Arabidopsis thaliana: one gene and its partners. The protein of the gene in region 3 interacts with the protein of the main gene of each other region in a pairwise test. Each region holds a gene or a part of one and is shown on either strand. Other genes may lie near its edges.

Region 1 (3,137 bases), 7.6 Mb from region 3:
CATCACTGGAGCACAGATCAAGCTCGGATTCTTCACGATATCATGACTTCCGATCTCCATTTCCGTGGAATTTGAAGCCACCTGAGATCACAAAACAGGATAAATTCCACAATCAATTAAAAATCCAACTACTTCTCAGAACTAAACAAAAATTCTGAAGATCGATTCTAAATAGCTAAACCAATGTTGTACACGAAACATCAAAGTCTTCATCCAAAACTAATACCAAATTTATTTGAAGCGATAAATCTGCAAATTCATCATTACCTATCCTTCTCCAATAAAAACGGAACAGAAAACAACAAAAGAAAACTGAACTAAAGGAAGAATCACTAACATAGACATTGCTAGGTTCCATGCTTCGCCGGCGCCTTTGATCGGAAAATACCACCGGAAACGGTACACTCCTTAGCCGCGGGGACGAAGAATCGGCAAAGAAGCGAGTGGAGAAATCGGCGGCTGGAAAACGGAGATTGGCGACGGAGGTAGGTGAAAGTCGGGGTTTGGAGAGTAGACGAGGAGGGTTGGTGAGACGAGCATTAGTTGAAGAAGCTGCCATTGAGAGGCGACAAACAACAACGACCCTTTGCGGCTTTTTTTCACAACTTTTATTGGATTTCTAAATTTTGGTATTTTTAACGTTTTTATACGCTAAAAAATGGTAGGTGAAGTTTCGATTAGGCGCAAAAAAAAATTATTTATATCTCCTTTTCATTTTCTGATATTGACAATTATATATGTTTGTTTAAATCATCAAGAGAAAATTCGTTATCTGTAATCTGAAGTTAAGAATTATAGCAGAACAAATGACATCAACAATATGTGATTTTGTTCACACAAAAAAGAAAGTCAAACAAATAGAGGTCAGCAAGTTCTTGAGTCTTTAACTACACTGGTGGCCATTGTTGGGCATGCAATGTAGAAAACTCAGCACGTTTTGCACTACAATAGTGGGCTGCGTTTTTTGGGCCCATAGGAAGCCTCTTTAGTGGGCTCGAATTGCATAGCAAACTAAAGAACAATAAATAATAAATAATAATAATAATTCCCACACACCACAAAGCTTTTCTTAACTCGCCAATAAACTTTAGTACAAAAGACAACAAAATATTTGTTTAGGAACAACCCAATATAAAATGTGCTTTTTATTTGAACATCCAACGAGGCAACAACAAACGTAATTAGACCATCTCCATTGAAGGTATTTCATAAGAGTTTTTCACAATTAAAAAAATAAAAATAATGAAAATGAAGGAGAGAAAATGTAGAAAGTTTCTCACTTGAAAAATTTTGAGATATTCTCTACAACCCATCATGACAATTCTCATCTCACTATTGATTCAATTTTTTAACAAAATTACTTTTTTAATCAAATAATTAAATTATAATATAATATTAATATTTTTTTTGTTTTAGAAACTTTGTAGGTTTCTCATGGATGGAGATGCCTTTACTCGTACTTAGCAATATGTATAATTTGCATTAACATAATATTTTTCAGCAAAAAGTAAAGCACATGTTTATTCGAAAATATGTGCAATATATAAGAGCTTCTACTAAAAAGTGAAAACTCGATCTACGCCCATCTTCAAGAATTCAGCAAATATATTTTCTTTTCCACCGAACACATCCTTTAAATTGATAAATAATAATCTTTTTGGAAAAAGGTGAGACAAATTCCATTTAAAATCAATTTATAATATTTTACTATTAGAGCTAAAAGTTTTCTTTTATAGAGACAGTATCATTATTACAACACAAAATGCGCTCTCATCAGTTAAGGAAAAAAACAACTCAGCTTTGATTTGTTCATCATTACAGTAACCAAAAAAGATGGCTTCATCTATATTGCTAACACTCATCACCTTCATCTTTCTCTCCTCACTTTCTCTCTCTTCGCCGACGACAAATACAATCCCATCTTCGCAAACAATCTCTCCCTCTGAAGAAAAGATCTCACCGGAGATCGCTCCTCTCCTCCCTTCACCCGCCGTCTCCTCCACTCAAACCATCCCTTCTTCTTCAACACTTCCTGAACCAGAAAACGACGACGTTTCCGCAGATCCTGATCCCGCCTTCGCTCCATCGGCTTCTCCTCCGGCTTCATCTCTTGCTTCTCTGTCTTCTCAAGCTCCCGGAGTTTTCATCTACTTTGTCTTCGCCGCCGTCTATTGTTTCTCGCTCCGGCTTCTTGCCGTTTCAGCTATATAGGTCATTCATATATTTTAGACCACGTACGTCATTATTTTCATGAGTTTATTTGTCCCCTAAAAATAACGAATAAAATTAGATTTAGTTTGATTTTCAATTTTTTTTTACTATTTGTATTTTTTATTGTTCTCCACTTAACATTTTGTTACAGTTTTAGATTGGTTTAGATGAAAAACGCAAGTAATATATTACGTCAGAACCACATAATTGATGCATAATTAACTTAAGAACTCTGGATAAAAATAAAAATAAAAACTAATTTACCGTTAAGTGATTCAATACACTTTGAGGACTTATACTTTTCTCTTCTTTTCATTTCATTTGTTCGTTTACTATACACTAACTTTTTTTTTTTTTTTTATCGCTAAGCTAAAGAACCTTTTGAAAAAGTTGAAATTACGTTTCAAATTAAAGTGACGTCATATGCATGCTTTACAGTATACTGCAGTTTATAGTAGTATCAAAATCAAACGTTCCAAAAATTTGTACTGTTTACATGCAAATAACACTTGAGTAATTATATGTAGACTACTAATTAATTTCGACATAAGTTTATGTAAAACACCAGTTTTTTATGATTATTTTTGTCTTAATCTTGAGACGTGTTTATGAACTGAATGAATGTATTACTTTGTGAATTAACGTATTTAAGTATAGTGCATTATTGCATAATTCCTAAAATGCCACAAGGTTAGAGGCGCATGCATGTGAGTTACTGCATATGCTGGCCTCACGGCTAAAAGCAACAACAAAAAAAGGTGCCTTCTTTTCTTGTCCCACACTTTATCTTATTTCTGGGGTTTCAAAGTCTCAATATTAAAATTAATAATATCTAGGTGAGAAGAAATATGTAAAGGACGTTTCTTGTTTTCACATTATAGGGTTTTATGCGTGAAAGATTGTATATGTTACTATAAGGTTGATTG
Region 2 (3,781 bases), on a different chromosome or scaffold from region 3:
TTTCAGAATAGGATACTCACCAGTCAAATATAAATTACAGGGTACAAAAACTCACCAAACTGATGGAAAATGCAGCCATGGATCCCAATCCAACTAACGAGTTCATATTAGGTGATCTTTTCCCGAAAGCTTTTATGCCATCAAACAGCAATTCTACAATATACATCTATCTGTTTCAGTCATTTGTGTTTCCGAACAGCCTCAAATATCACTACCACCACTTTGTTATGAAAGTCGCAAAGAATAGTAGGAACCATCACTATCACTTAAGAAGTTTGAAAATTCAGAGTTTCTCTCTTATGACAACGACGACTCAATTAAGCTAACCATTATCCATAAGAAGAACTGATTCAACAAAGCTCACCTATATAATCAGAGTAGAACACTAGCACTTATCTAAGTCTAAACAATAGCCTAAGAACGACTACTTTGTCATCTCTCTCTTATGATACTAATTACTAAACTTATTATGCATTAGCTGGTAAGAATCATAGATTCGAACTAAAAGTTTAAACAAAAGCAAACCTCTTCCTGGTCCCAACAAAGCTCCAACGGCCAAACCACCTTTCACGTAAGAGTTGTGTAGCAAATCCCAAATCCCTCCTAGTAACATCAGGTGCAAGAGAAAGTCATAAACTACATCTCTTATCCAACAAATGACATCTAGCATCACAATTTTTTTTGCATTATAATCAATGTACCATGAGCAATGTGAATTCCCAAGGAATGAAGAATATGCGAAGTGTGAGACCCGCAACACAGAGCCACCAATGTCCACGCAAACGCCACACGGTTCCTGCTCTTAACAAGCAAGTCCTCTTTCTTACTTACCATCTCCTTCCACTTCTTCACATTCTCCGCCACTCCCATACCCGAGACTCTCCTCTTAGCCTCAAAACCACTCTCTGTCAATCTCTTAGCTAAACTCTCTGCCGTATCCGCCGTCACCTCAACCTCCGGTTTAAACTTCACAGCCGCGGTTTCAGTCAGCATGTTAACCACAGCAGACGCGACTCGATCATCAGACATCAAAACCGATTTAACTCGGGCGACGCAGCCACCACACATCATCCCACTCACATCGAGGAGAATAGGCGTGTCGCTCGTAATGGATTTCACAGATTCGATTGAAGATTCAGTAGATTCAAATGATTGAGTACTTATCTCGACCGAGTTTGATACTAAAAAAAAAGGTCGCGAACAGTGCCGCCGGATACGAGAACGGCGCAGTCTTGGAAAGCATCGGTTCACGAGGAACTTACTTGGACGAATATGAAGACTCGATGGCGGAGGAAGAGGAAATCGGAGAAGATTGCTCGCCATTTTCTCCGGCGAGACAGACGACGATAGTCACGCGATGTATACAAGTAAGAAACTAGTGGTGGACTGGTGTATGGTTCGTTAAAAAGAGTATCGCTAAACGTTGACACGTCGGATTTGGAATATATCCGAACATTAGCCATTTTTGTGGAATTTTTAAAAAGCCAGGCTGTCACCAGAAAAATCAGAGAGAGACATAAAACGCAAAGTTTTAATAGGTAAGACCTTCTAACTCAGCTAGAGGATTACAGCCCCCGGGACACAGCGATGCCACGTGTCATCTTCCTGAAATATTGTTTTTTGTTTGGAGGTAACTTTATCTTCTCAAGCTTTCTTCTTCTACAACACATCTAGAGCTTTGCAACAATGGAGGCGAGTGCGAATGAACCAGCTATGAAAAGCTTGAAATCCAATCCTTCAGGACCGATACCGAACTTTTTCGTATCGCTCTCTTCGGCATTTACGCAAACACCTCTTGTGCGTTCGAACAAACCCAATTTGCTTCTTCTACCACCAGTTGCAGACTCCGTCAAATTGATTCAAGACTTTCATCAGTCTCTGATTTCTGCTACTGAGAAATTTAAAGGATTCCTCCATTCGCTCGCCTCTAAGAACCCTCTCTTTCAGGAAGCGGTTCGCCTATCTTCCGAATTTCACATTTTGTGCGACGAGGTAACTTCTCTTAGCCTGCTTATGCTAAAGAATGTTATGGATTAAGTTAAGAAGATGATTGTGTGTTTCTCATGAACTTGCCTTGGCTCTGATTGTTACTGTAATGGGTGAATCTTTGTGGTTTCTATTTATACAAAATGGGTCATTCTTTAACAGCCAGTAGATTGTTGTCTAGATCATTTAGCATTTATTGGAAAACCTTCTCACATTGATAACCCTGAGTTATATATGTCCTCAAGTTGGGATCTTTTTTGGTTCTTTTCTTGTAAAGATGAAACTTGGCTTCTGGATAAGTCCGGTTATGATTTTGTGTGCCTTTGCTTCTGGTTTTGGGTTCTTTATGTCTTAAAGATGAAGATCATTTTGTTGCATTGCAGATTCGTTTGAGAAACACTACAAGGGTGAGGTTTGCGATGTCTAATCACGGATTTGCAGCGGTTCTGCCTGGAGATTCAGTTGCAGGATTGGTGGTTGCTAATGGTTTGATCAATTTCCTCAACATATATAACACCATCCTTGTCGTCCGTCTAGTACTCACCTGGTTCCCGAGTGCTCCTCCTGCCATTGTTAACCCCCTCAGGTAAAACGTTGCCTTCAAATGCCACAATGATTTTATATCTTATCCAGGTTTAAAAGTTTTCGATCAATCCATGAAAACAAAATCTAGATCATAGAAGTCCTATTCGTGATTGTTGAAGGTAGTCTTTTTACTTGATTTAGAGGAAATTTATTTTGGATAAACTCTGTCTACTACTTTTTTGTCCAACTCTTAAATGGATTAAAGATTGGTTAAACCCTGATTGATCTGCCCAGGAACCCTAGTTGATTCCTATTTATGTGTATATGCGTTACCATTGTTTCAGCACTTTATGTGATCCATACTTGAACATTTTCCGGGGATTCATACCGCCTCTTGGAGGATTAGATTTGTCTCCCATTTTGGCGTTCCTTGTTCTCAACGCCTTCACCAGCTCGGCTATGGCACTTCCTTGCGAACTCCCGTCAGCTGATGGAGCCGTTTCTCCAGCTTCTAGTGAGACAAAGTGGGTGAGAAGGAGAAGGTTGAGCAGCCACAAAGACCACAGACCGAGCTCAGCTTCTATGACCTGAACCTGTCTAAAATATCTACTCTTTTCTGCGCTTCAAATGTAAAATCTACCTTTCGAGTAATTTTATTACTCTGTATCTTTGGATTTCTGAGTTTTGTATAAATTTTCTTTAGAAAATGAATAAAAGAGTTGTGTTCCTGACATACAGAAATATTGTAAAAATTTTGCAAGAGATGAGCTTTTCTTCTTCATTTGTGGCATCAAAACAACTTTCGCTCAGATTCTAACCAGAGGCTTTGCATATCAAGACGAAAACAAGAAGGATGAGGATGACAAGCAATCCACCAAACGAACCACATAGCCTGTGAATCCAGTAAGGATCAAACCTGGTCAAGCTCGGGTCACTGTACAAGGACAAGGCTATGGCTAAAATCAACAAGAGGAGAAGCAGAGAGAAGGAAAACATAAAGCTGAAGAGTTCTTCTTCCTCTTCTAGATCTTCCTCTGATAATCTGTCGATGTAGAGTGGTGAGAGCACGGCTAGTACCGACAAGCTTATGGCCAAAAGCTTCCTGGAAGTAGTAAACCTCCCCATCATCGGGCTGGATGATCCCGTTTCCATCAGAAAAATGCCAGTACAAAATATATAAAAACAACTGGTAACTTTCTTTACAATCCCCGGTTGGTGTTCATCTGAACTAAAATGGCTTGTTTCTTGGTAAGAATCTGAACACAAGTTG
Region 3 (3,162 bases):
TTGAATCTTCAACCTAGGGTAGTTGCAGCGGGTGCTTGGCATGCCGCGGTGGTAGGTCAGGATGGAAGAGTGTGCACTTGGGGTTGGGGAAGATATGGATGTTTAGGTCACGGTAACGAGGAGTGTGAATCAGTCCCTAAGGTTGTTGAAGGTCTAAGCCATGTCAAAGCAGTTCATGTCGCAACAGGAGACTACACTACTTTTGTGGTCTCAGACGATGGTGATGTTTACTCGTTTGGCTGCGGCGAATCCGCTAGTCTCGGTCACCATCCATCCTTTGATGAACAGGTTAGTGATTGGCCATGGCCTCCATTGTTTCTTTTGCTTACATTATATGTTCTAAACTTATGTTTAGTCGTATGTCTGGTTTGATTTTTTGTTGCAGGGTAATCGACATGCAAACGTGCTAAGTCCAACGGTAGTAACATCGCTAAAACAAGTGAACGAGCGGATGGTCCAGATAAGTCTAACGAACTCCATATACTGGAACGCTCATACATTTGCGCTCACGGAATCGGGGAAGCTATTCGCGTTTGGTGCAGGCGATCAGGGTCAGCTTGGAACAGAGCTTGGTAAGAACCAAAAAGAAAGGTGTGTACCGGAAAAAGTGGATATCGATCTCAGCTAGCTAGCTGACTTATGTGGTTTGGTTGGTAAGAAACTACGTTTGACATCAAGGAAACAAAAACGCAAGAAAATTTGCGTTTGCTTTTTATGTTCATAAGACTTGGAAGCTTGTACAAAAAGGGGAATAACATAAACTTGTCTTTAACATTTCATTGTATAGGGTTTTTAGATTATTCTAATTGTTCATTGGTTAAGTTTTAGGTTATGTTGTTAATAATTATCAAATAATTTCATTAAATCAAATTATTGTCAGATTCAATTTCTACCAAATTTTTATTTTATTTTCTGTTTTCATATTTGTTGGGTTTACATCTATATATACATTTTTGCAGCCATTTTGTGATTTACATTTATATATACATCAATAAATCATGGAGTTGGAACTTATTTACAATGGTTACCACTGGCTTATTCAATGCGAAAATTAACTATCAAATAAAAGCAAATCTTATTCAAAAGAATATGCTCTTATTCCATGGCCTAGTTATTTTTGCCAAAATGGTTAAAATATTTAAAAATTAAATAATTATTTGAAAGAAAACTTTAAATTGATTTAAATTATAAATCTTTTAATAAAAATATTAATAAAAAAATAAAATAAAATAATTTCACCGAACATGATTAGATAGTAGGACTAGATGGTATGACATGTTTATAATATTATAATATATAAACTTTATAACAATTAAATAAATATTTGAAAGAAAACTTCTAAATTGATTTGAATTAAATATTTTTTAAATTAAAGTATTATTAAAACAAAAATAACAAAATAATGTCTAATTTTACTGAACAGGGTTAGTGGTAGGACGGGTTTGGTCGATAGTATTACGAGACGGTATACCACAAGTGAAATCCATTAGATATGTTTAATTTCATTGTGCATGATTAGATGGTATGACGGGTTTTGATCGATAATAATACGAAACGATATACTACGGATGAAATCCTAGATATGACAATTAAAATCTATATATATATTATCTTAAACACTAAATAAAGCAAACAATATTAATAAAACAAATATCTACATATACATTTTATATAACAAATTTTATTAAAAACCTAGCCCCGCGGTATACCGCGGGTCAAAATCTAGTTAGAGTACTAATATTCTATCGAAGAAAAATCTAAAATCCTATTTCTCAAATTGTTTTTGCTATATTTGATAAGATTAGAATTTAGAAAAAGCTTAATTAGGAGTAGAAGATAATATGTAATTTGCAATTTTTTCCTCAACCTTTAATATTTTTGGCAAAACCTCAAATTGCGTTGAGTCATCTTAGCACTTTGATCAAACAACTATATAAGCAAAGACCCTCATTACACAATTCAAGATAAATAAATAAAACAAAATACCCATAAAACATTTTTCAAAAAAAAAAAGTTTTTTGGGGATTACTAAATAACTAAATTAAAAAATAATGGCGCGTCTTCACCTAGCTCTCCTCCTCCTCTTCGTCGCTATCTCCGCCGTGATCGTATCAGCTGCTGAGAACGAAAAACCACCGTCAACCACCACCGCCTCAGCTCCCACCGCTACAACTCCAACCGATGGCATTGGAGGTGATATAGCAGAGGGTCCAGCTGATGACAATGCTATTGGAACAACTGACAACGACGATGCAGCTGTTACTCCCGATGATGCCAATGGAGATGATGAAGTGGCAGTCGCCGGACCTATTGGAAGCGATGCTTCGTACGCTAACTATCCTCCACCACAAAAAGAAGCTTCCGGAAGCGATGCCACCGTAGCTTTTGGCTTTGTCTCTGTTGTTGGTGCAGTTGCTGGATCGCTCTTCTTTTTCTAGAGTTGTGATCGGCGCGCGAACTTATTACTATTGTAATAAAAATGTTTGTAATATTTTCTTGTTTTAGATGTATTTTGACGATCCCTTCTTCGATGTAACATTGATTATATTGGGATGATACATATTTAATATACTAATATAAAGAAAGTTTTTTATTTGTGGGGTTAATATATTTCTGCATCTCATAAATTTACAAAAATAGCCCACAATATATGGGCCGTATTTTCTCACAGGGCCTAGCCCATCAACGTGTGAGTAAGCGCGTGTTTTTCACGTCTAAAAACCTCCATATCTTCTCCGCTAGCTCCGGAATAGAAGAAATTTTGCAGAGAGAAGCGTCAATGAAGGTCCAACGGTCAACTTTTTTGGCGGTGACCGGAAAATCAAATCTTCATCACTTTCACTCGTCTTCTCAGGTTCTCTTTTCTCTTCTCTGCGTCATCTAAATCAATTAAAAATCGTTCCTTTTGTCACTTCTAAGAATACCCATTTGCAATTGCAGAAAAAAATCTGAACTTTTTCTGATTTCATTGCGTTTTGGGGATAATGTCTTAATCAATTTCAGAGAATTCCCATTACTTCCGAGATCGATTCACGAGAGTTTGTGTCTAAATTACTCGATAGAAAATGGGGATTACAGTGTCCTGCATCTCCAATTCAGCAGATTAGTGTTTCTTCTGTCAAAGGAATCGATAAATTCTCCTTCTTGAACAACACTCGTCCA
Region 4 (3,738 bases), 5.7 Mb from region 3:
AGTTGAAAGAAAGTTTTCAACTTAAGTAAAGGTACTGGAGGATTTTCTTACAAACTGGTTATTTCCCTATCTCATTAGGATCTTTCGGGAGATGTGGTTGACAACTTGAGGGACTTCTTCAAGGCAATGTACAAGAAGGTAAGAATCATGATTCACAATTGATTTCTTTTTGGACTTTGCAACACAACTGTTTCGTTCTGTATACTGATCATTTGTGCTATAGGTCACCGAGGAAGATATTGAAGAGTTTGAGGCCAACTATAGGGGTTCTGAATCCGAGAAGAATGATTTGATTGAGCTATATAACAAGTTTAAGGGTAAAATGAGCAGGTAATTAATCATCCCCTTGTTTTCATTATTGTCAAGTTTGTGAGTTGAAGTTTGTATAAACATTATTGGTACTATATCTCTTTCAGGCTTTTCTGCTCAATGCTTTGCTCGAACCCCAAGCTTGATTCGCACCGTTTCAAAGATATTATCGATGAGGCCATTGCAGCGGGTAGGCTTCTCTTTCTTGCAATAATTCTTTTGTCTATAAAACCTATCCAGGTTCTGATTTGTTTGTGCATACCATTGTTTAACATCTGCAGGAGAAGTGAAATCAACAAAAGCTTACAAGAAATGGGCAAAGGAGATTGCAGAAATGGAACCTCCCACGAATCCCCAGAAGATGAGACGGAAGTAAGCTTCTATTTGTCTACCTTTTCCACCCCAATAAATGCCCTCTGAAGTTATCTTTGTTGTGACCTGTTTCAAAATTTCTATACTTTCAGAGCAGCAAAGGCTGCAGATAAAGATTTATACGCTGTAATGTCCCAGCGGGGAGATGAGAGGAAAGAGAAGTTCGATTCAATGTTCTCTTCACTTGTCTCTAGGTATGGTAGCAATGCTGACTCTGAGCCAAACGAAGAAGAGTTCGAAGCTGCTCAGAGAAAAGTTGAAAGCCGGAGATCATCGAAGAAGTCTAGAAAAAAATAAAGATTATGTAGTAGTTTGTGAAATTTAGGTTTCGTGTTTGTAATGGAGACCAATGTTTTTAGCGTAAATTAGATCACATTTGTTGCTTCTTAGAAGTTGAAGACTAATGTGTATTTGCTAGGAAACAATGTGTATTTTTACTTTTTGTCTTTTTTCCAACAACAAAAAAAGCAGTGAGTTTACCAGTTCAAAAGCTCAGGGTCCCACGTGTATGTCGTCTGGATCTTCAGAAGAAGAGAAATTCTATCACCGGGTCCTAGGACTTCTCCACCTGCAAAAACAATCAGGTCGAGTAATGCATCATAATCAGTTGATAACTAAACAAGCCTTTGTTACAATGTAACATATAAACGTACGGTATCAACCAAGTTTCTCGGGAAGAGGAGAGTGGACGGATCCTTTGGCTTGTATAGGCCTAAATAAAGAACTAACAAATTTCAAGTGAACTTATTTAAAAGAACCAAATAATTATTCTAAAAGAGAAGAAAAAAATGAAATTATTTACTTATATGGCTTGTATAGGCCTAAATGGCATACAGTTAATAAATTTTGTTAGTTCTTTATTAATTAACACCAAGCATCTTTTTTTTTTGTTGAAAAAGAAAAAGGAATTTAACAAAAAGGATATTCACAAAAAGAAACTAGAGAAGTAATAATAAAAAGGAAAGAAGAATCTAATGTCCAATAGAACCCCAAAGTAAAGTACACCAATTGTTGAGAGAAGAAGAGTTCTTTTTTTTTCAAAGGTATTTAAGGAGAAGAGTCGCAGTCGCAAAAAGACGAATCGTAATTGTTGAAGAGAGCAAATATGGCTTGGGATTTGTTTTTATGGATAGTCTCCTTCTTCGTTAGCTTGGCTCTCGTCGCTTCCGTCTTCTACCAGGTAATCTATCTACTTTGTTTGTCCCCTTTTACTTTCCATTAAGATTCTTAAATCGAGATCTGTCCTTACTGTTCAAATCCTGATTGTCGGAATTGTACTTGTGAAAAAACACCGAGCAACTTAGCTTTTTGTTCGAATTAGCTAAAAAATTAGGAATGGAACAATTTTCCTTTGTGTTCGTCGGTTTTGTACTAAATACAATTGACAATTTTTTGGGTCCAGAGAGGTTTCATTGTTTATCCTTAATCTTATGCTTCTAACTCAAAGTTGTTCTTAGTTCTGATTTGGATTGTCTGCAAGGCTTGTATATGATACTTGGTCAATTGAGACATATAGTTGATTAATTGCGAGTTATATACTGTGAATGAATGAAGTTAGATACTACTACCAATAGTGTTTACTCTCATACTAACTGCCTCTGCTAATGATTGAAGCATTGAGATTCCTTTTTAGTCTATTGATATCGTGTGTGATTTTGTAGGTTATCTGCTTAACGGATTTAGAAGCTGATTACTTGAACCCTTTTGAAACAAGTACCCGTATCAACCGATTAGTAATACCTGAGTTTATCCTCCAAGGGTCACTCTGCCTTCTCTTCCTCCTCACATGGCATTGGGTCTTCTTTCTGGTCGCCGTCCCTGTAACAGTCTATCACGCAATGTTGTAAGTATCTATATCCATCCATATTGCTTATGATTCTTGATTGACATGCGTGGAAACTAAATACGCGCCTCCCATTGTTCTTCAGATACAAAGAGCGACGTTATCTCATCGATGTCACTGAAGTGTTCCGTGGTATCAGCTTTGAAAAGAAGCTCCGGTATACCAAGCTCGGGTTCTACGTCTTTCTCTTCATCATGGTTGTCTTTAGGTAAAAAAAACTACAGCTTTAGCTTTCCTATTAACATCTTCACTTACTTTGGTTCTTCTACTATGAAGTTACTTACCGAGTCCATAAAACATTTTTGCAGGCTCACTCTCTCTGCGGTCTATAGCTTCACGGAAGATGATGATCTACTTCATTTGTTTTGATTTATGCGCTTGCGCTCTGCGTTATCAACCACTCTCTCTTTATTTTCTGAGTGTGTTTTAGAAAATTGTGACAGGTTTTTATTACGTCCCTGCTTAGAATTAGCCATTCAGGGATTCATCATGTAGCTTTATATAACGTATGATTACCGAAAACTCATCACAAATCGTTTGACATGGAGGGTTTCATCAGTTTTGTTTTGCGCAATATAATGTTCAGTCTCATCATTGAAGTCATAAAAATCATGTATCAAGAATGAAGCTACATTGTATTACATAGACTGGCTGTGGAAAAACGCACCGATATCTAGTTTATCGGAGATGCAATTGAACCCGCTGTGGACCTTAAATCCATGTCCATCCAAGAGGAGGAGGAGAAGGTGACCCAAACAGAAACTCTGCAAGAACAAAAACCAAGGCATGTTTCAACAAACCTTTTTATATGAGCCAATTTTTGCGATAGTGACCAAATAGCGACCCAAGAAGGATTACGGCCCAACCCAAGAGAGTTATCCAGCTTGATTACGTCCCAGACCCCCTATGACCCGATCCGGACCGGCTCAGACCATCTCACAAACCGATAATATTTACTACGGGCATTAAACCGGTTAAATAAGGAACTTTCCTTATTTAGATTTTTTAGGGCAAGAGTCTGGGACCACGAGAGACTCTAGTCAATCCAAGCGAAAAGATCATTCAAGATAGATAGACTACAATTTTCATACTTGGCCGTGGCCCGTGGGTGTCCTTAATTAACTCCCAACGACTATGCCACTTAATCCAGCAAATAGGCGCTTATTCACTTACCTTATCAAAACCATAATCCATCCTATGACTTCATTTCTTTT

Evidence for each region.
Region 1: the proteins of AT3G26110 (region 3) and AGP27 interact in a protein complementation assay, tested with the Arabidopsis thaliana proteins (one large-scale study listed by BioGRID).
Region 2: the proteins of AT3G26110 (region 3) and YLMG2 interact in a protein complementation assay, tested with the Arabidopsis thaliana proteins (one large-scale study listed by BioGRID).
Region 4: the proteins of AT3G26110 (region 3) and AT3G12180 interact in a protein complementation assay, tested with the Arabidopsis thaliana proteins (one large-scale study listed by BioGRID).

Annotation. Positions count from the first base shown.
Region 1 is NC_003074.8:1,927,143-1,930,279, forward strand, and holds AGP27 (arabinogalactan protein 27), read left to right. Parts: upstream 1-1,725; 5' UTR 1,726-1,833; coding exon 1,834-2,211; 3' UTR 2,212-2,542; downstream 2,543-3,137. Other genes in the region: MEE32 (dehydroquinate dehydratase, putative / shikimate dehydrogenase), read right to left, coding at 1-81, 338-559. UniProt on the Arabidopsis thaliana protein: Proteoglycan that seems to be implicated in diverse developmental roles such as differentiation, cell-cell recognition, embryogenesis and programmed cell death.
Region 2 is NC_003076.8:7,240,671-7,244,451, reverse strand, and holds YLMG2 (YGGT family protein), read left to right. Parts: upstream 1-1,571; 5' UTR 1,572-1,686; coding exon 1,687-1,992; intron 1,993-2,369; coding exon 2,370-2,572; coding exon of another isoform or gene 2,573-2,576; intron 2,577-2,611; exon of another isoform or gene 2,612-2,855; coding exon 2,856-3,102; 3' UTR 3,103-3,251; downstream 3,252-3,781. Other genes in the region: PAA2 (uncharacterized protein), read right to left, coding at 56-153, 526-603, 702-1,323; AT5G21910 (uncharacterized protein), read right to left, coding at 3,325-3,663. UniProt on the Arabidopsis thaliana protein: Not required for the biogenesis and accumulation of native cytochrome b6 in the thylakoid membrane. Not functionally involved in the pathway for covalent binding of the c-type heme to cytochrome b6.
Region 3 is NC_003074.8:9,539,522-9,542,683, forward strand, and holds AT3G26110 (Anther-specific protein agp1-like protein), read left to right. Parts: upstream 1-1,961; 5' UTR 1,962-2,051; coding exon 2,052-2,438; 3' UTR 2,439-2,643; downstream 2,644-3,162. Other genes in the region: AT3G26100 (Regulator of chromosome condensation (RCC1) family protein), read left to right, coding at 1-288, 386-628; AT3G26115 (Pyridoxal-5'-phosphate-dependent enzyme family protein), read left to right, coding at 2,780-2,854, 3,004-3,162.
Region 4 is NC_003074.8:3,881,678-3,885,415, forward strand, and holds AT3G12180 (Cornichon family protein), read left to right. Parts: upstream 1-1,652; 5' UTR 1,653-1,786; coding exon 1,787-1,861; intron 1,862-2,342; coding exon 2,343-2,524; intron 2,525-2,609; coding exon 2,610-2,732; intron 2,733-2,832; coding exon 2,833-2,893; 3' UTR 2,894-3,187; downstream 3,188-3,738. Other genes in the region: AT3G12170 (Chaperone DnaJ-domain superfamily protein), read left to right, coding at 79-138, 224-330, 417-499, 591-681, 774-978.